Rhinolophus ferrumequinum: one gene and its partner. The protein of the gene in region 2 interacts with the protein of the main gene of each other region in a biochemical or structural test. Links are inferred from orthologs where the notes say so. Each region holds a gene or a part of one and is shown on either strand. Other genes may lie near its edges.

What was found. The genes of interacting proteins can lie anywhere in the genome.
Region 1: of the proteins of MAPK1 (region 2) and IER3, one has a biochemical effect on the other in vitro, tested with the Homo sapiens proteins (2 studies listed by BioGRID and IntAct). The link is inferred for Rhinolophus ferrumequinum from reciprocal best matches to the Homo sapiens genes MAPK1 and IER3.

Annotation. Positions count from the first base shown.
Region 1 is NC_046286.1:1,332,703-1,338,182, forward strand, and holds IER3 (radiation-inducible immediate-early gene IEX-1), read right to left. Parts: upstream 1,227-5,480; 5' UTR 1,151-1,226; coding exon 941-1,150; intron 840-940; coding exon 579-839; 3' UTR 552-578; downstream 1-551. UniProt on the Homo sapiens protein: May play a role in the ERK signaling pathway by inhibiting the dephosphorylation of ERK by phosphatase PP2A-PPP2R5C holoenzyme. Also acts as an ERK downstream effector mediating survival.
Region 2 is NC_046308.1:22,850,719-22,858,551, forward strand, and holds the start of MAPK1 (mitogen-activated protein kinase 1), read left to right. Parts: upstream 1-4,746; 5' UTR 4,747-4,981; coding exon 4,982-5,100; intron 5,101-7,833. UniProt on the Homo sapiens protein: Serine/threonine kinase which acts as an essential component of the MAP kinase signal transduction pathway. MAPK1/ERK2 and MAPK3/ERK1 are the 2 MAPKs which play an important role in the MAPK/ERK cascade.

The DNA of each region.
Region 1 (5,480 bases), on a different chromosome or scaffold from region 2:
ACAGCCCCCGCCTCGCACCCCGTAGCCACCCTTTAGGGGCAACTTCGAAGAGATCGAAGGCCAAGGACTTTATTCCCAACGGTCCACCGAAGCTTCACACAATAGACCCAGGGGGTTGAGATGCTGGAGGACAGTGTCACCCCCTAAACCTACGACCCACCACCGTCCTTAACTCCCTGCGGGGCGCCCTCCAGGCCCCGTCTCCATCTCCCTCGGTCTAGGCGCCTCCACCAATCCCACCAAGCTCAATAAATACCAAGAGACCTGCATTTGCAGCGGGGTGCACGTCTCGCACCCTCGCATAAGTTAAAATAAATATTACATACACCCCTCTATCACTTAGGGGACATACATAAATACATATAAATATCAGGAGCAATGAGAAATAAATTAACGCCGCTCTCCCCCTCCTTCCCTGCCCGGCCCGGCCTCCGCAGGTCCGCGCGTGACCCATCCTGGTGCGGGGTGGCGGCTCCCCTGTAGTGTTGAGTGCGAATTGCCTCGGGAGTCCCAGTTTGGGATACGCTCTCGCGCACCAGATACAGCTGGTGTTTCTTAGGGGATGTGGGGAGTCACGTTTAGAAGGCGGCTGGGTGTTGCTGGAGGAAAGTGCTGAGATCCAGAGCGTAGTCCGAGGGCTCCGCGGTCAGATTAAGGGGCTCCAGAGCCGGGGGCGCAGGGGTGGGCTCCAGGGGCGCGGCGCTGGGGGCGTCCTCCCGGGGTAGGGGCGCCGGCACACCTTCTTCAGCCATCAGGATCTGGCAGAAGACGACGGTGAGCAGGAGAAACAGGAGCCTTTTGGCAGGGTTCGGATCCTCGGCGGGCAGCTGGCGCCGGACCTGAGGGGAGACAACAAAGGGAACAGGTCAGCTCAGGGTCCCAAAGTCTGGTCGTTCCCCCACCCCGACGCTCCCTCCAGCGACACTTCAGCGACACTCACCACTCGCGGGTAGAGGACCCTACGACTGCGCTTTCGGTGCCCGCGGGAGACGCTGGGGCGCGCGGCGGAGGCCACTGTAGGCTCCGGGAGAGGATCGAAGGTGAAGATCTCAGGACCGGAGCCCCTCCGGGGTCCCGGGCTGGTGGAGGGTACCGGGGTCGGGGCCCGCAGGACTGTCATGGTGGGAAGGGAGCTGCGAGAGTGACACATAGTGCGCTGAGCAGAGCAGAAGGACGAGTGCGGACCCGCAGCCAAGCTGAGCTAGTTAAGTGTGCCTAATAATTGGGCGGGCCCTTCTCAACTCCACCCCGGCGGAGAGCTGTAGGCAGGCCGGCGCCGGCTGGAAATTCCGACGATTAAGCAAAGGGAGGGGGTGGAGACTTGGCCTGTTAACCCTGGGTGCCCAAGTGTGTGTTGTGAGTGTGTGACTTGTGAGTGGGGGTGGGTGAAATCCCGGGCTGCATGCACATGTCGGGACATGTGGCAGCTGGAGAGCGGCCCACGCACAGTTTAGGAGAGGTTCAGTCACAGGCCCATCTCCGGGAAGGCAGCAGGGTTTCCATAAGGAAGTCTGGCCATCCTGCTACAATACTGAGCCAGCCAAATCAACGAACCACAGTTACACAGGTACATTCACACACCTGTAGATACACATAGAGAACCACACCCCAAGAGGAAAGTCGTGACAGAAATAGTCAAGCAGCAGAAGAAAAATGAACACAATTGCACACGCAGATCCAACCCTGCCTGTCTTAGAACACAGGAAAACACACATACAAACATTCACACATACAGCACATTGTAGGGGTGGAAAAATTTTCCCTTCTTCCCTTCTAGATTTTTCAGTTGGTCTAATAATTAAATTGACATAAGACATTAACAGGATGAAAACAAATTTCATTACCTACTCACAGGAGTCCAGGAAGACCAGACTCAATGATAGGCAGCTGAGGCTCCTATGCCATCCTAATGAATGGGGGCTAAGGAATGGGGTGGGGGTCTGGGGTTCACAGGGAGGACGGCAGATCACAGGAAGACAAGAAGAGCACATGTTTGGCCTGCCCAGCCCCAGAGTCTTTCAGATAAAGAAGTGCTCTGGTAATAGCTTTCTTCCTGGTACAGGCCCCTAATAAATTCTTTTAGGCAGTTACGGGAGAAGTGAATAGCTTTTCCTGAGTCTGCTGGGTGTCGATTGCCTTCACGTCAATCCACATACCAAAGTGGCACATTTTGGGGTGGCATATTGTACAACATGCACATCACACACACACACACAGCAAAGGACAACCCAAAGAAGTTACCCACTTGGGTGTTCATACAAAGCTGGGACAGAGGACCACAAAATATGAAGGCAGGAGGTTAGCAGTCACCAAGATTTGCCTCTTGTTATTTGGATCAAATAACAAAATTCATCTGAAGAGCATTTTAAATTGTGAGGCGTTATGCAAATGTTGTGGTAATGATAATAACTCAACTTATGACTGAATTTACACATTTTCGTAACTCAGTTGCTCATGGACAGAATTTATCATCTTTTGGGCATTCACAGTGCAAGGCGCCCTGTTAAAGGTACTGTTGGAGGTACCGAGGTCGGTTTCTGCGTGCGTGCTGCTGAGGGCACCTCAGGAGTGGGCCTGACCAGAACTCCTTGAGGGTCCTAAGGAAATGGAAGACAGTATTAGGGGGACTCAGAAAAGCTAGTGTTCACTAATGAATGAGGTGAGGCTGCATGGAAGAGTGGATGTGAGATGACCTTGAGCAGTGGGTGGGAAACCACAGAATCAGATGTAGAGGATGACTGTGAGAAAGAGAATGGAATCAGCAAAGGCCTTGAGCTGGAAAAGTACAGCATGTGTGTGGGGAATCACAAAGAAAACAGTCCTGGACTAAGTTCCCAGTAAAGGAGTAGTGGGAAGTCATGAGGACTGGGAAGGATTTGGGCAAAGTGGGGAGAGCTTAGCTGCCAGGCCAGGAATCTGGATGTGACTAGATGGACTAGATGGGCACGGGATGACAACAGGGCACTTCAAGCTGGGAGCTGAGAGGGACAATGAGCGTGCCCTGGATGGAGAGACATTGAGGCAGGGGCAGGAAGCTATTACAGAGGTGCAGCGGGAGGTAACAGGGCCCTACCAGGCTGTGGCTGAGGGACCCAGACCAGGGGGTGGCGGGGGTGGCGCTACCTGACATTCCCAGTGTGAGATCACTAGAATTTAACAATAGGATGGGTTTCAGTAGAGTCAGGGAGCATGGAGAGGGGGTGCTGACAGCAGAGAATGAAGGCAGCAAAGCTGACTCCGGAGATGTGAAATGCCTCGGGCTCAGATCTTTACATTGGATGGTACTATGCCTGACACACACAGTGAGCACATGCATGAACCCTTCATTAGAGACTGTGTCACACATGTCTTTGTGTCCTTGTGTCCGCCGTAGAACCTAGCACGGGGCCTTGTGTGTACCAGTTACTCAGTAATCTTGATAAATGAAAGGTGAAAATGCAAAACGGAAAATGCACACACTGGCAGGGTCACCCCAAGCTTTTGAGACATGGCTACATTTCTTCAAATCCAACATTCAAATTTATAACATCTTAAGAAAGCTGGGACAATTCTTACACAGACCCAAACAAGGAACACCTAAGGGCATTTCTCAACCAAGGTTGTGCGGGGGTGCAAACCAGGGGACAGCCCCACAATTGGGCTAGAAATTGATATATTATTGCTGTATATACAATTGCTTCATAGGCCTATATGTCACTTTATTTTACTGTGTTTCCCCGAAAATTAGACCTAGCCGGACCATCAGCTCTAATGCGTCTTTTGGAGCAAAAATTAATATTATATTATACACTGTCTTATATTAAAATAAGACCAGGTCTTATATTAATTTTTGCTCCAAAAGACGCATTAGAGCTGATGGTCTGGCTAGGTCTTATTTTTGGGGAAACACGGTATACCCACTACATCTAAACACATGGGACCCCTTCAGCATTACACACTTTTTCCTAACAGGCATAAAACACACCTCCTCTACAAACAAAGACATATCCCTTTCCCACACCTGCCTTTCAAAGCCGCCATCATTCTTACACCTACACCCAAGCACAGTGAGCCTGCACACCCACCTACACCCTTATTCCAAGGCAACCTGCACACTACACAATGACCAACATAAATCCATGATTACTTACATGTGTGGACGGGCCCACATGCCCAAACAGACATAAATTGGAGGTGGGGGGAGAGAGTGATGATGGAAGAAAACTGCTCGGTGGGGAAGGTGGGGGAGGCACCCAGATGAAGAATGCATACTTGTTTATGACGGAAATTTCCCCAGGCCATTAGGCAGGGGAGGGGAGTAAAAGGAGGATGTCAGGATCTTGTCTCACCACTACCTCCCACATCTGGAATCAGGACCTCCAGCTGGGCCTAGTTAGCCTCACTGTCCTTCTGGCACAGAGAGACCTTTCTCTGTGGCAAGAGCAGAATGGGACAAAGAGGAGAACTAGAGAAACCATTCCTTCTGCCACCCTCAGAGACCCAGGGCTCTGCCCCACCCCACTCATCCCACACAGGAAGCTAGGAAAGGTTGAAAGTGAATCATTAAACTAATAAGGGAGTGCAGAGGTGAGGGCCAAGCGATGAGTGAAGGCCAGAAAGGGCCAGGGGCTGAGACCAGCAGCCGGACTGGTTCTCACTGCCCTAATCCTAGGAAAGCAGGCCTGTAGGCCCATTCGTTGCCAGCTCTCCTCATTTCCTTCCATCTTCCTGAGATCACTGTGTTCCTTCATTCCCCTCCTCTGACCTGTCACTGTGACCTCCCACCAACCTCTCTCTTAGCCCCTTGTTTGTTTTCTTCATAACATTCACCACAGTGGGGTATTCTTTTGTGTATCTGTTTACTTTTTGTGGTTTCGTGTCGCCCCCACTGGGATATGATCTCCATGAATATCCAGAAGCACATTTGCCCTTTTCCTCACGATATCTCCGTGCGATCTCCAGTACTAGGCCTTCCACCTAGTAGAGGTTTAATAAACACTCTTCCTTCCATCTCCTCTGAGGAGCTGCACCTCACACCCAGAAGTGTCTATGTCTGTTTACACGGCTGTGCCCCTTCAGAGGACCCCAGACTCCCTCTTCGCTGAGGAGGCTGGGGGGTGCTCAGCTGAGGCTCAGGAACCACTGTGGAGGCGATGAAGCAAAGCCTGGCCCTCAACCCTTGTCAGTCCCTGACCTAAAGGGGAACTATACCTGCATCCCACTTGTAGTACTGCTGCATCGAAGAGCAGGCTAGAACGGGAGACAAAGTTAACGGGAGGAGGGGGAATGGGCAGGGCAGGGGGGACAGATGTTTGGAAGTGGGAGCTTCTGAGAAAGGGAAGCAGGGATGGAGGGATGGAGCAGGGTCCTGCCGTCAGGGCAGGAAAGTGTTCTGGCATGGAATTAACCGCTGGTTGTTTGCAAAATGTGAAAGAATTCAGACTCATAAAAGTAGGAGAGCAAAGGAAGTTTTATTAAAGGTTGGGCAAAGAGAGAATGCC
Region 2 (7,833 bases):
TTTCACACTGAAAAAATATATAAAATTATACTATTTTTTAAAAATAACTTTTATCTTTATTGATGTAAAACAAGACCTAGTGCCTTGCTTTTTTACCTTCTTTCTCCCTCTTTGGTTTTCATTGCATTAATCTGAGGTTAAAAGCCCTTCTATTTTAAAAATGCCTCTTTCAATTTTTTTCTTTTGCATTTTATTTGTTACCATAGCAACAATTATTTCAACTTATCAGCATCAAACAGGCTATACCGAGTTGTGTTTTTATTCAGTTACCTCTCTGTCTTTCGCTAGTTGCAAGGCTCATTGTCAGTTCTTTTCTCATTTCATCATTCATGAGTTTCTGATTCATATCTTGGTGATGTATTGTACAATTCTGAGTAATTTTTCCAGAAAAGGGAGTTAATTGGGTAGTGTATTAGTCAGAAACTCTGTGGTTTCAAGTGATAAGAATCTAACTCAAATTGACTTCAGTAAAAATAGAGAATACATTGACTCATGAACCTATAAAGTCCAGGCTCAGCTGAGAACAGCCTCAAACTATGTCCCCAAATCTGAATTCTGCTTTTCCTTCTCACCTACATTCTCAGAGAGAATTTCTCACTTCGTAGCATGTTTGACTCCAGACACGTACTCACTGCCCTAGCACCCCAACAGAAAGGGAGCACCCCCTTCCCAATTGTTTCTTTATTTTTATTTATTTATTTTTTTATTGGGGAAGGGGAACAGGACTTTATTGGGGAACAGTGTGTACTTCCAGGCCTGTTTTCCAAGTCAAGTTGTTGTCCTTTCAATCTTAGTTGTGGAGGGTGCCATTCCGCTTCAAGTTGTTGTCCTTTCAGTCTTAGTTGTGGAGGGCGCAGCTCAGCTCCAGGTCCAGTTGCCGTTGCTAGTTGCAGGGGGCACAGCCCACCATCCCTTGCGGGAGTCGAACCGGCAACCTTGTGGTTGAGAGGACGCACTCCAACCAACTGAGCCATCCGGGAGCTCAGCGGCAGCTCAGCTCAAGGTGCCGTGTTCAATCTTAGTTGCAGGGAACGGAGCCCACCATCCCTTGCGGGACTTGAGGAATTGAACTGGCAACCTTGTGGTTGAGAGCCCACTGGCCCATGTGGGAATCGAACCGGCAGCCTTCGGAGTTAGGAGCATGGAGCTCTAACTGCCTGAGCCACCGGGCCGTCCCCCCAATTGTTTCTTAAAAAGACTGAGTGTCATTGTCCTGGATCAGGTCACACATGCATCCTTTGAACTAATATCTGTGACTCTGATTGGGGAGCCCTGGGTCACATGCTTGCTCACAAGAGTGCAGAAGAGACAGAAGACAGTTCACCAACAGAAAATTTGGTTGTGCTACCAGAAGGAGGAGTTGATGCTGGACAGGCAAAAGTAAGAGATGGCCATTGTTTTCTAAAATCTGTGAATTGTTACCACTCTAGAGAGACAATAAGGAAGACATTCAGGTGGCCAGCTAGCCATCTGACTAGGGTCTTATGCTTTGATAGTAGTTTAGTTTTATTTCAGTGAGTCTAGTTCTCAGCTTTGTGCTTCCAGAAGTTTGTTATTGTCACTGAGGCTAGATAACCTTTCCCTCTGGGCCTGTATCATGCTGATCTGACTCAGTAGAGACTGATGTATAAGTAAATCCCATCTTAGAATGAATAGTAATCTCCAGAGGACCTGAATAGTGCTGTCCTCTGGTCAGTGCACTTTCCCTGTCAGAAAACCACATGCAAAGCTAAACTCTAATTATAAGGTTGCATGGAGCCAGGCAAGAGAAGTTCTCCGGAGAAAATTAGTGATCAGGTGCATCATGCCATGATAGTGTGGTGGCTTTAAAAAGTCCACAAACGCTGGAAGGGTGGAGGGAGATTAGTATGGAACATGGAAGGCAGAGTAAAAGGAGTTGGGGTGGAGGGATGGTCGGCATAGACCTCAGTCTGAGTGCAGTGGGGAGCCACTGACTTGCTTTAAGAAGGGGAGTGACATGGTCAATTTTGTTATGGAAAGACTACCTGGGTATGAGGAGAAGCCATTGGAGATGGGCAACACTGAAGGCAGAAGAGTCAAGGTGAATGGCAGTGGGAATAAAGTGCATACATTTAAAACAGTGCTTTTCAAAGTTTAATATGCGTACGAACCACCTGGATCTTGTTAAAATGCAGATCCTGATCCAGTAGGTCTGAAGAGGGACCTGAGATGCTGCTGGTCTGGAGACCATGTTTTGAGTAGTGACTATTTCAGAAATATTAAAGAAATAGAATTTACAGGAGTCTGTGATTGTTTGGATGGGGGGAAGGGATGAGAGGGAGGTAAAATGAGTTGTTAAGGATCATACCCAAACTTCCAATTTGAGTATCTGGGTGAAGATGATGCTATCCACAGATACAAGATGAAGAACAGGTTTGGTGGGGTAGATAATAATAACATAACATGTATTGGATACTTACTATGTGCCAGGCTCTTTATGTATACTGTTTTATTTAGTCTGTACAACAAATTTATGAGGTTAATACTATTGTGATTTTCATTTGAAGAGTGAGGAAACTGAGGCCAAGGTCACACAGGTAGTATGTGGAGCAGCCAAGACTCAAACCCTCTGGAAGTGTGAGTGCAGAATGCGTGCAGTTAACCATTGGCAGTTTGGATATGCGGAATTGAAGCACCTGTGGGATGTCATGTGGTCTGTCCAGAGGGACATGCTGACCTGGAATTCAGGAGAGATATTCTGAGTAATGGTTAAAGATCTGGGAGGAATTAAAGCATTGGAGGGAATGAAACCATCCATGGAGGTTTCTAACCTACCCCCTCAGAGTGCTATTAATCTTATTCCATTTTCCTTTGGGCATTTAATTATTACAGAGGAGGAGTCTGAAGACAACTAGTTTTTAGCTTTTTTGTAAATAATCTTTTCCCCCCCTCTGATTGGATTCTCTTACTGCTTGTTCTTTACCCCTGAAATTTAAGAATTTTTCCAGATTTCCAGATTATGTCTTAAAGTTGGTTTCTGCTGATTAATTTTTCTGGATCCCAGTAAACTCACTCAATTTTTTACCTATACCTCAGATCTTTTTACACCTAAGGCAAGTTTTCTTTTATTATAACTTTAATTATTGATTTGTTATGTCTTCTTTTGGGGGATGCCTATAGTTTGAATCTCCATGATATTCTTGTATCCATTTTCTTCTCTCTTACAGAATTCCATCACTTTGAATATTTCTTGTGTTTATATTCAATATTGTTGATTTGTTCTTCTGTATTGTCAAATCTGCTCTTTACTGCTTTGACCAATGAATTTTACTTTGGTTATTGTGGTTTTAGTTTCATATTACTCTCCATTTATCTTGGCCTGTTTTTAAAAGATGCAATGTCCTCTTGAAACAGAGAATAAGAATTAGGTGTTTTCTAAAATTGAATTCTGCTTCATGAACTAAATATATTTCAAAGTACTAATTTTTGGCTCTAGCACTTTCTTTTCTCATGTGCCACATATGTTTTTTCCCACAGGGCTTTTCTAAAAAGTTGCTCATTCACCTTTGAGATAGATTAGTTGATCTTTGCTGATGTCTGGAAGTCCAGCATTGACGGCTTTCAAGACCACAGTGTTGGACAATCAGGATGCAAGGTCTTCCACCCTTACTCTGTTCAAAGATAGTATAGGAAATGGTTCAGAAGCAGTGGCTGGATCATTTTGTCTCGTCTTAGCGATTCTTGGCTTTCAACTGCTTCAGGATTCCAGTTTTTATTTTTCAACCTATGTTGTTTGTGACTATTTTTTAGCCTCAGTGTGTATGTCTCATTTTCCCTAGTTCTTGATGCTTGGGTTTAGCGTTTCCATCTTTGTATTTATCAGTATGTCCTCTAAGTTTCTGTCCCTCTGTACCAATCTAGGTCTCACTCTCTGAATCTCTGTGTCTTTCTCTAAGCGTCTCAACCTACTTCAGCAGGTCCTCAAATAACATGGATTGGCCACGGTAGGAACTTAACTCTTGTTTATATCAATTATCCTATAGTAAAATTTGTTTCCTTATAGCACCCTTTACTTAACATCTCAGACCTTTACCACACAACTTGAGTAATTAGTGTATATATATATATATATATATATATATATACATATATATGTAAATGTGTCCATCTTCTCCCTCTAGAATGTAACTTGTATGGGGGTGGATGCCCAGGAACTTGGTAGGTACCCAACGAACACTTGTTGAGCGATCCTCTCTGTCTGATTAGCGGATCCTGCCACCTTTGTGTTTCATACTTTCTCAGTATGCAAATGTCTTTCTCGGTCCCGGTCATGCCTTTTGGTTTCTGTCCTGGTCTCAAGGTCTCTAAGTTTGTGTGTGGGCCACAGACTAGCACAGGCCGGGCCCAGGCCTGCAGCCGGTGTGTGGCGGGTCGTTGTCCCTCACACGCTGCCCTGGGTCGCTCTTAGGCTTAATCCGGACCCCGGTCCGGGTTTTCCCCTGCCCGTCTCTTAGGATCACCCCTTTGGGTTCTCTCCCAACAACTCGGATACCTCCAGCCTCTCAAGAGCCACTTTCTGCGCAGAACTCCCTCCCCCCCGACCGCCACAATAGCACGTGACCACGTACGGCAGTACCGCGGGCGCCGCGGCTGGCTCAGCCGCGGAGCTCCGCCCTGAGCTCGCCGCTTCCTTCGGCCCGCGCAGCCACGCCCCTAGGCCGCGGAGAGCTAATCCTCGCGCACGCTGCTTGGCCCCGCCCGGCGCCCTCCTCGGCGCGCGCCCCTCCCTCCGCCCGCCGGCCCGCCCGTCAGTCAGTCAGGCAATCAGTCGTTCTGGGTTGCTGTGGGTTCTCCAGGTCTTCGGAGCGGTTCCCTCCTTGCTCCTTCCCGGTCAGCAGCAGCAGCTGCACCAGCTGCGGCGCGGTCCCTCCGGGAGGCGCGGCGTAGGTCGAGCGGCGGCTGCGGAGCGTCGAGCTCAGCCCAGCGCGGCGGAGGCGGCTGCGGCGGCCCGGCAGCCAACATGGCGGCGGCGGCGGCGGCGGGCGCGGGCCCGGAGATGGTCCGCGGGCAGGTGTTCGACGTGGGGCCGCGCTACACCAATCTCTCGTACATCGGCGAGGGCGCCTACGGCATGGTGTGGTGAGTGTCCGCGCCCGCCCGCAGGCCTGGCCGCGCCTGCCCACCCCATCTTTCGGGGCCGCAGGGGACGCAACCGCGGCCTCGTCCGCGCCTGGGCCTCCCGCGCCGCCGCGCCCCCAACCTTGGGCTTCGCTGCGGCCCGCGCCCCTGGGGCTTCGGGCGGGGCCCTGGGGCCGGTGGAGGTTTGGGTGTTGCTCGCGGCATTTCGCGGGCTGGCCCTCGCTCGCCGTCGGGAGGGGCGCGGGGGGCGGAGGCCAGGATCCCGGGTGTTGCGGGCTCCGGCGCAGCGCGGATTTTGAGTCAGGACCCCCAGGAAGGGAACAGAAGCGCCTCCCCCACATTCCCCCTAATGCCAGCATGGTGGTCTTCTTTTTGACATCCGATTGTAAAGCCGGGAATTCCTTTAGATGCTTGTGGGTCGGTGGTGGTGGCGGCCGGGATCGTGAAAGCGGTTCGCCTCGTCTTGTGTGTAGAACACCGAAATGGATCTATTTTCCTTCTCTCGCCTGTGTTTTCCTCGAACGGCTTTCATTAAATATTTTCAGTGGTACTAATGGTGCTCTAATGCGCAGGCTTTCTAAAAAGCATTAGTGGCACCAGTGTTGTGTAATATTTCAATCTTGAAGTTTTTAAATGGATTTTAATATCGTGCTGTTTGTGTTTCTGGAAGGATAAGCCAACAACGTTTTCCTGATTTATTAAAGAGTCGTTTGGAATTGGGCCTAATTTGACTCTCTTTCTTTACCCCGAGTGAGCTCTCTTACCAGCATAAATACATCCACACGTTAAAGAACAATTACTGTGGTCTTTTTCAGTTAATGTTTTAGTGGTTAGTATATATGCAGCCTTAATGGAGGTCTTGCAGTGTTACGTGCAGGGTTCCTCATCTTAATCTATATCCCTTGGAAACGGGGAACGCGGGTGACGATATTATTTTTATTAGAACCAACTAGCTAGTGTTTTATGCTGATGGAGACATGTGGGAGTGTAGATTCCCTTACACCTAAATCTTCTTGTGACTTGTCTTTTATGTTGAATGAAGGAAGCAAACACATTTATTGAACACTAAGTGGCAGGTACTTTGTTAGGTACATTATCTCATTTTATTTGAAGAGCCACCTTGAGGGAGGAAAAGGTGGTGATATCTGTCTTTCAGGTGAGAAAGTATTTCGAGGTGAAGCGAATTTCTAAGGTCATACAATTAAAGAGTCACACTTGAGAGTGTAGACTGAGATCCTAATTCAAATGCTGTAGCTCTTTCCATTACATCTTGCTATCCTTAAATAGTGTTACTACCATTTCCCTGAAAATAAGACCTAGCCGGACAGTCAGCTCTGTAAGTCCCGGTCTTATTTTACTGTAAGACCGGGTCTTATATTAATTTTTGCTCCAAAAGACACATTAGAGCTGATTGTCTGGCTAGGTCTTATTTTTGGAGAAACACGGTATTAGTTTTAGAATTTGAGCATATTTTGTTATGAGCAAATCTATTTCAGAAACACATTCAAATTTGAATTATCATAATTTTAGAAACATAGAGGGCATAGTTTACCAAATATGTTAGCTAGATAAAAAGACCAGTTAAAATTGTGTTTTTAAAGAAAGACTACTTGAATCTTGAGTATTCTCATTCTGTTCAGGAGCAAAATGCTGCACGGTATACAACTATGAAAATGAACGTGAACTCAGAGGCTTATGAGCCAATAGAGAAATTAAATTAGGTCAGGCCTAAAAGAAAGAAAAGCCTTAGGAAGTAACGGAGAAACAATACTGCCCACAACATCACTTCTCTGTCATACATCTGATTGCTGTTGCACCTGCTGGTTAAGTATGCCAGTAAACATGTCTCACTATAAGAGGCTCAGAATTGCCCATCACATCCTTCGGCCCTTTTTAAAAAATTAGCATCCAAAATATGGACTGAAGGGCTGGCCCGGTGGCTCAGGCGGTTGGAGCTGCATGCTCCTAACTCCAAAGGCTGCCGGTTCTATTCCCACATGGGCCAGTGGGCTCTTGACCACAAGGTTGCTGGTTCAACTCCTTGAGTCCCACAAAGGATGGTGGGCTCCGCCCCCTGCAACTAAGATTGAACACTGGCACCTTGAGCTGAGCTGCCTCACAGATGGCTCAGTTGGTTGGAGCACGGGCTCTCAACCACAAGGTTGCCAATCGACTCCCGCAAGGGATGGTGGGCTGAGCTGCGCCCTCCACAACTAAGACGGAAAGGACAACAACTTGAAGCTGAACGGCACCCTCCACAACTTGGGGAAAAAAAGTCCTGGAAGTACACACTGTTCCCCAATAGTCCTGTTCCCCTTCCCCAATAAAATCTTAAGAAATATGGACTGAAAAAATCTTAGGATATTTCATTGAAAGGATTTTTTCCCCTTTCTGATAGGATTTTTACTAGTCTGAAGATGATTTTAGGTGTGGTAACTTTTCTATCACTGCTGTAGACTTGTTTGACCTTCTAAATCTCTTATCAGGCCTAGTCCTCTTACTGTGATTTTCCTTTCCTGAATAAAATACAAATACAATTGGAATTAGAATTCTGGGTCCAGATTATAGCTTTTGATTTCATGTTGATGATATACGCTAGTAAGTAGTTAATCTACATTGCACATTATTAGCATTTAATAAATATTGATTAATAGTGCGGGGTTTATTGAGGGCTTCTTGATTAAAATGTTAATATTTGAATATCAATATTTTAAAAAGTGTAATGCTTCCAGA